Linked DNA regions of Kluyveromyces lactis. Each later gene encodes a partner of the first gene's protein in a complex. Links are inferred from orthologs where the notes say so. Each region holds a gene or a part of one and is shown in the gene's direction. Other genes may lie near its edges.

Evidence for each region.
Region 2: MRPL35 (region 1) and MRPL49 share a complex: the UniProt entries of both Saccharomyces cerevisiae proteins name them as parts of the mitochondrial large ribosomal subunit. The link is inferred for Kluyveromyces lactis from reciprocal best matches to the Saccharomyces cerevisiae genes MRPL35 and MRPL49.
Region 3: MRPL35 (region 1) and MRPL39 share a complex: the UniProt entries of both Saccharomyces cerevisiae proteins name them as parts of the mitochondrial large ribosomal subunit. The link is inferred for Kluyveromyces lactis from reciprocal best matches to the Saccharomyces cerevisiae genes MRPL35 and MRPL39.

Annotation. Positions count from the first base shown.
Region 1 is NC_006040.1:1,119,491-1,122,573, forward strand, and holds MRPL35 (mitochondrial 54S ribosomal protein mL38), read left to right. Parts: upstream 1-1,454; coding exon 1,455-2,546; downstream 2,547-3,083. Other genes in the region: KLLA0_D13068g (M1 family metallopeptidase), read right to left, coding at 1-372; KLLA0_D13079g (uncharacterized protein), read right to left, coding at 664-930. UniProt on the Saccharomyces cerevisiae protein: Component of the mitochondrial ribosome (mitoribosome), a dedicated translation machinery responsible for the synthesis of mitochondrial genome-encoded proteins, including at least some of the essential transmembrane subunits of the mitochondrial respiratory chain.
Region 2 is NC_006042.1:1,308,760-1,311,398, forward strand, and holds MRPL49 (mitochondrial 54S ribosomal protein bL21m), read left to right. Parts: upstream 1-1,561; coding exon 1,562-2,044; downstream 2,045-2,639. Other genes in the region: SAP185 (Sap185p), read left to right, coding at 1-233; enoyl-CoA hydratase PHS1, read left to right, coding at 599-1,243; mitogen-activated protein kinase kinase kinase BCK1, read left to right, coding at 2,362-2,639. UniProt on the Saccharomyces cerevisiae protein: Component of the mitochondrial ribosome (mitoribosome), a dedicated translation machinery responsible for the synthesis of mitochondrial genome-encoded proteins, including at least some of the essential transmembrane subunits of the mitochondrial respiratory chain.
Region 3 is NC_006038.1:66,405-68,533, forward strand, and holds MRPL39 (mitochondrial 54S ribosomal protein bL33m), read left to right. Parts: upstream 1-1,318; coding exon 1,319-1,534; downstream 1,535-2,129. Other genes in the region: TIF35 (translation initiation factor eIF3 core subunit g), read right to left, coding at 1-388; transcription elongation factor SPT5, read right to left, coding at 1,838-2,129. UniProt on the Saccharomyces cerevisiae protein: Component of the mitochondrial ribosome (mitoribosome), a dedicated translation machinery responsible for the synthesis of mitochondrial genome-encoded proteins, including at least some of the essential transmembrane subunits of the mitochondrial respiratory chain.

The DNA of each region.
Region 1 (3,083 bases):
AAAATCAGTATAATCTGAACGGTAGAATCCAGACATATTAGTCTGAATCATACCCTTATAATCGATCTTCAACACGAATTCATCATCAGATATACTCTCCGGAAATTTCAAGGAAACAACATCGTTCTCTAAATCGAAACTATGGTCCTTCATTCCCAAAGACACAGACCCCTCTTTCAGTTCAACCACCGCAGAAACGATCTCAATGTCCCTCATATTCAATGAAATCATGTCATTGGCATTAACAGTGGACATAATAATACGCACGGATCCGATAAATGAATTGTGCTCAGCATCTAACTCACTCAATTCAATCTCATAATGGTTGGCCCTAAAGTCGGTTGGTAGAGTTTGAATCTTAACGTCAGCCATCTTTCAGTGAATCAGGTATAAACTATTCCAATACCTAATTGGTTCTCTGGATATATCACCCCAGTTGTCTTATATAGTGAAAAATCCAATATGAAATCAAAGAGTAGGTGTCATTCAAAGCTTTATCAAAGGTCTTAAGTGTTATCAATCTGTTTTCGTCAATGTGTCAAAATTTTTTTCTACCTTCCCTGCTGAAAAGCTCAGAAGTGAGCGTAGAAATTTTGATATAAGACGGAGTAGTATGAAAAGAGAAGCTCCTCCATTATCCAGCAGCACAACTGCTCATACGTTTCACCTCTTGTGTAGTTTTGGCAGTAGTTTCTTTGACCTATTAAACATTTTGCGCAGTATTGAAGAAGACCGTCTCTTTAGCTGATCTCCGACATCAGAGTCAATTGAGTCGCTTATATCAGAATCGGAGCTGAACATAGAGGGAAAAGCTCTCTCTGTTGGAGTTTGTGTATCAAACTGCGAGTAAACTTGAAGTTTAGATATTAGTATGGTAACTGCCTCGACATCGTGCCTTAACTCTGTAGAATTCGGTTCTGAACCGTTCATATTTGATTTAATAAGCTTTTGAATATTATACAGGATAATACAGGGAATGAGAAGTAAACCTACAATGCTGATTGGCAAAGGGTCTTTATACCAGGAAAAAGTTGAGGCATCTTGTCTTTACAGATCTGAAACAATGTCGCGATGAGCATTCTCATATAAGATTCGTCGTTTCAAACATAAATGATCATTATAATCCGCATATAGGAAAGGGAAGAAGAAAATATACAAAGAAAGATGGATATGATGGGTTCGCTGGATCAGAAGAGCGTCATTTGCAACATATGAAACCGAATGGCAGTCTCAAAGGCAAAGCTTACCAGTTATTGATCTCTGAACTTCCACTTGGAGCGAGAGGCACGATCTTCTGTTACCCGGACTGAAACACATTAAAATTTTTTGGTGAAAAATCGATTTCGAACGATTCAGATGAGTTTTAAGTATGAACGGACAATGAAGATACATGAATAATCAGTTGTAGGATCCCATTGGAGGGTGTTTCAGAGACTAACAACTCGAATTGGAGAATGTTGCGTAGAGGGTTGCACAGCAGTGCCAAATGTTTAGAGAAAACCGGGGTATGGTCGGACTTTTCTAAGAGATCCAAGTCGCTTGGTTTAGCATCAGAATCGATTAAGAAATACATCTTTCAAGGCGACAGCGATGACGTTAGAAGACGAGGTCCACCGTCTTTGAAGCGGAGGATGAACCGTTTGAAGTATACCTCTCCTGAACATATTGATGAGATGTTCCGCTTGAGTTATGAGTTTATGAGTAAGCGCGCTGAAGAGAAGTATTCGCAACTAGAAAATGAGACTGATGCCAAGGTACGTGCTAAGTTAGAAACAGAGGCTGAATTGCATAACCCAGAGGTCCAATACAATTTTCAGTATCATGACAAGTTAGAGAACGATACTAGAGTGATAGATTATGCTGTTCCAGTGTACAGGCGTTTGGGGCTGAAGCATTGGGAATCCTACGAAAAAATGTTGTTAATGCAAAGACTAGAGACTTTGAGTGTAATCCCCGATACGTTACCTACTTTACAACCAAGAGTACAGGTTAATTTACGTTTCCCATTCAGTACTGGTGTGAACAAATGGGTTGAACCTGGTGAAATTTTGTCCTCCAACACGACTTCGATGGTTCCAACAATTAAGATTCAAGAGTACGAGAACGGTATCGACTTCGAAAAGCAAAAATACACTGTGGTAATTGTGAATCCAGATGAACCGGATGTGTTGAATGATACATTCAAGACGACTTTGGCGTTCGGTTTGACTAATTTAAAGATAGACTATAACGACAACGTGGTAGATCCAAGAAAATACAATGAATCGCAGATTCTTGCAGATTACATTCCTCCAGTACCTGAGAAAAATGTTGGCAAGCAAAGGTTCTCTGTATGGGTATTCAGACAGAATGGTGATTTGGAATCCCCTGAACCAGTCGATAGAGAAAACTTCGATATTAGAGAATTTGTTCGTTCCCACAACTTGGACCCGGTTGGTGCTCATGTTTGGAGATCAGAATGGGATTCTAACGTGGCAAACATTAGAGAGAAATACGGATTACCAGAAGGGAGAGTGTTCCATAGAGTTCGTAGATCTGTTGTATGAAAAAAAAAATGAAAGTTTCCAGAAAGAGTTTATTTCCTCCTCGTCTCTCTCGCGATATATATGATTACACACTTTTCAACAACCTCAGGTGGTCTGAATAATATCTCATACCTCATGTAAATAATATGCAATGTAGAAAATCAATGCAACATACGCAAATCATAAAAAAAACTAAAAAGCTTGTTCGAATCTATTAAGAATATGATCATTAGTTAACATTTATTCCCGGTAACATAATAAATTATATAGTAATAATACGGTGTATGGTGCGTGCGTTCATGTGCGTCTGTTTTTTTGGACTGCCTCTGATTGAATATTTTCCTAGAGGCTATATATAGAATCTTCTTTTTTTTTGGCTGTTTCTTCTTCATATGTTATTGTATTGGCTGTAAATCTAATCGTAACAAAAAAAAGGATTCGTGAGGTCTTTCGTTCTTAGTCGAGGAAAGCAGATATAACTCTTGTTGTCATCATTTCTTGTTGACTACCAGAATTCAAACAGAGAATACAACCTTTTATTTTTCTATTATGCTTCAG
Region 2 (2,639 bases), on another chromosome or scaffold:
ACGAAGAACTCAACGATCTTGATGTAAACGACGATGATGAGGACGACGACGAAGATGATTTCGATGCTGATACTGATGTTGGAACACATAGCGGCATTTCTCATCGTTCGAATGAATACTCCCTGCGTCGTACTTCCAGTAATGATAAGATCCCTTACGATCTCGCTGAGCAGAGTAGTAGAGCAATGGGAATGCCTGCTTTGCAAAGATCAAGCTCACATGATACAGATTAACAATGCAGCCTTATCCCCAAACACGAATCCTTATCAACACAAATTGATATATAATAAACATTTACTTTTCCTCTGTTTATCGTTAGTTCAAGTAGTAATAATATTAATAATAGTAATAGTAATAATAACATACGAGTAACACTAATTCAAATCTTAATTCTCATGTCATCAATACATACTGCAATTTGTTAATTTGGGTATTGTTGGATTTCTCTTCCTTTTCGTCTCAATGCATCACTTAATTTTATGAATCTGAAACCATGAATTCTTGTTATTGACAAAAACTGGTCTGTTTAGAACCGAACTGGATCTTAATAAATTGAACCCCGAAGTCCAAAGAGCCCACCAATACACTTTCACACCCAATGGCATCATCTAAGGCTTCTATCTTCTCCTTCCTTCCTCTTTACAACCTACTTTCTGCTTCTGCCTGGGCTTATGTCCTATATCAAGTCGTGACCCTTTACCCAAAGATCGGTCAACCAAGTTTCTTTATTGCTACCAAGGATTTAGTCACGTACGTTCAATGCGGTGCTATAATTGAAGTCACAAATTCTTTGTTTGGAATAGTCCGTGCTCCGCTAGTGACCACTGCTGCTCAAGTGGCCTCTCGACTCTTGGTAGTCATCGGTATCTTCCAGTATGTGCCGGAAGCAGAAAATGCGCATAAAATATATTACATCACGTTGTTGTCGGCATGGTGTATTGCTGAAATAGTGAGGTACATGTTCTACTTCTTCAACTTGGTGGCTCAAGCGCCTACTGTACTTGTTGTATTGAGATATAACATGTTTTACGTGCTATATCCATTGGGCGTCGGCAGCGAATTGTTCATAATTTATTCTGCATTGCCGTTGGCTGAAGCAAAATACAATATCTTGTACAAGTATTTCTTAATTGCAGGTATGCTAGCCTACATTCCAGGGTTCCCGGTGCTATTCTCACACATGGTTGCCCAAAGAAGGAAGGTCATGAGATCCTTGAACGGTGATAAACGCAAATCTGCATGAATTGTCACAGGATTAAAAGAATAGTTTGACTCATGTATAAAAGTTCTGTAACATTTGTAACATACCCGAATGAATGCACAAATGAAACGACGCTGTCCCTTGGCGTGGCCGTTGGCTCTTCCTTCTCATGACTGTGTGTGTGCCCTACTTTTCACGTCACGTCACGTGACTGACATCAACACTTAACTCTCGAAGGCTCAAAAAATTTTCTGTTGAAACAGTATACGACTAGTTGAACAACATTTAAGACAAGTGAGAAGAAGCAGATTGAAAGGGCTATTGCATCTGCCAATTGTCGTTCGAATCAGTGCAGAAACGATGTTCAAGAATATCAGTCATATGTTTGCCCTCCCAGTAAGGCAAATGGTGGGTTTCAGCCCATTTCTTCAACCTTTGAAGAGAAGTTTCATCAGAACAACACACTCGGTAGCAGAAAAAGCGAAGGTGAATTTAACGCCGTTGAAGTTATCCAATGAGCTATATGCCGTATTCAGAATACACAACAGACCATACTTGGTGACAGAAGGAGATAAGGTTATCTTACCGTTTAAACTGAAGCAAGCAGAGGTCGGCGATGTGCTAAATTTGACTGATGTGACTACCATTGGTTCTCGTAACTTCAAGCTCGTGGACGAACCTATTGATCCATCTCTATACACTATTAAGGCTACAGTTCTTGAGAAGACAAAACGCCCGCTTAGAGTGAGAGAAGTTACCAAGAGAAGAAACAGGAAAGTGCGTCATGCGGTCAATAAAGCCGATTTGACTATTCTGAGAATATCCGAGCTAAAAGTCAATTAATGAACTAACCCTCCTACAAAATCGTGTAAATAAAAGTTTAATATAATGTTAGGTCGTTATAGATCGATTAGAAATACTATACCATCTAGTAACTATGTTTTAGTGGCAGCATCTCATCGAATTTGTTAGAAACGTTTACCGTTTTAGAGAATAGATATAAATTCAAATAGAAACAATTGTAATTAATACCATTTTAATCGTTAATAAAGAGGGGAGAAAGACGATAAGAGAAGAGCTTAGTGCAACAATTACTGGGTATCGATACTTTAGTATCTGATAAGTAAAGTCCCGCTAAATATAGATGAACCGTGGATGATATGTCTTTCTTGAAGAAGAAGAGTAGCACTGCTGGACATTCAAGGTCAGGATCTGCCTCATCTATACTCAACAAACATGTTGATCCTGCCAATATCAGTGAGTTTTATCCATCGTCATTGGATCACAAGGTGACCAGTGGTTTGAAGAACGATTATAGTTTTGATTCCAGCAGCAAGGGATCCAGGAAGTCCTCTGGTGGGAGCACCAATTCGTTAACATCTGAGCGACTATTATTCAATTGGGATGTCACTGATCCGAGCCAGTGGACGATGCCCAG
Region 3 (2,129 bases), on another chromosome or scaffold:
TCTTTCCCAAAGTGTCTTTGTACGGACAATGCATGGTGAAATGCGCACCACCACAAATTCTACAAGTAATTACCTTTTGAGTCGAGTTAGCAGCCTTCTCCTTTGCCTTTTCTTCTTCCATTTCCTTCCAGTTAGGAGACAAGTCTAACTCTAATTCTTCACCTAATTGAGTGGTTGAAATATCTGGTCCTGGGGCAGCTCCCTTATCAGCACCATATTTCTTCCAATTTCTTCTCAAGGCGATGTTCTTGTTAACTTTCTCGGTGACAGTAATTTCCTTAACCTTCTGCGTAACCTTGTACTTCTTACCATCTTGGATTTTGAAACTGATGACGGTTTTGGAACCATCGTCATTCTCGATGATTCTTGGTTCAGGAATAGCTGACATGTTGTGAATCTTTGTATTATCTCCTTAAAAAAATAGGATTGTAGAAAAAATTCCTTTAATTTCTAGACGCGTGTTATACTATCAACAATTAAGAAGCCCAATTCTGATTTGAGGTATGTCAAATATCCTCCTTTCAAGTTATGGGTCTGTAGATAATCTGATCGATATCAATTAATTCTCTTTGAAGAAAAAAACTTCGCACAGATGATAGTCTCAAATTTTTGTTTCAGTTCTTTATTGAAACACGTAAATCGGATACACTTGGCGCAGTATACTCCTTTCTTCTATCAAACAGCTGGATGAAACCCTATGCACCTTCTAGGGTCACCTTACCATTACGTTTATTTTAGCAGGTAACTTAGAACTCATTTGAATTTCCATTTTTTTCTCTTCTCTTTCGCTGATTTTGCCTCTGTCTCTATGCGATGAGCTTTGGAAAATTTTCAAAATTTTCATCAGTAATGTATATCGTGTTGCACGGGTGTAACAGAGATCCGTAAGCTCCAGCACTAATTAGTTACCTTAATTATACCGTACTGTGTACACCAATCAATTCAGTTAATACCTTCTTGTTGATAAAAGCGTAGAGTAACTATATGCGAATACTTAACTTGACTTGTGAATATGTATCTGTTTCACGTGATATGAAGTACGGATCATTTTTATGTATATTGCATATTCATCAAAACGTATGTAGTGATTTGACAAAATTTTGATTATCCATTACTTCTTCTTTAGCAATGTATCCGACCCAATCAATACTGAAAGTAGTGGGAGTTCATCAATTTCTGCATAGGACGGTGTATCATCGGAAAGTATTAAGGGCAGAAAGTAATATTATCCTGCGTACTTCTCTGTCTCAAATTCAAATTCAAGGAATTTCACAGAGCTAAGGATATCATATATAAACTGCAAACGAACAGGAAAACGATGGCCAAGGCTAAGACAAAGACTACAGTTATCAAACTGATATCAACTGCTATGACAGGTGTGAGCCGTCATGTCACGATAAATAGAGCTGCACCATTAGTGACGCAGGTGAGGTACGACCCTGTAGCTAAACGTCATGTTTTGTTCAAAGAGGCCAAGAAAAGAAAGGTTGCAGAGAGGAAACCATTGGACTTCTTACGTACCGCAAGACGTTAATGAATTGTATTTAACAATTTAACCACACCATTTGCATGTATATAGAAAACACTCACACTGCAATAACTACCGTTGAAATAGACGTGATTTAAGAGTTCTATAGTAGTATCGGTTTGTAGTAAAGAAACGAAATTTTTAACTAAATTACATTTACTTAATTCACTTATTTAATTGGTTTCTGAGACTAATTTGGGCAAGACTATATATACAACATCCACATCGCGTGGAGTAATTTGGAGATAATAAGATGAACAATTGATAGGTTTGTAAATTATCGTGAGGCAATAACTTGTATGATTATTTCTAATTATTTCCACCCCACGTACTTCCACCACCTCTAGCATCCTGATTACCCCAAGCAGATCTATTGCCGCTATTGTTGTGTTGGGATGCATTGCCCCATGCGGATCTCTCTCCTGAGTTATGCTGCGATTGATTGTTACCCCAAGTGGAACTTCCACCGGTGTTTTTAGATCGTTGTGATTTATTACCACTGCCACCCCAGGCAGAGACACCTCCCTGGTTACCACCCCAGGTAGAAGTACCTCCATAGCTTGATTTATTGCCACCGCCCCAGGCAGAAGCTGCTCCTGAT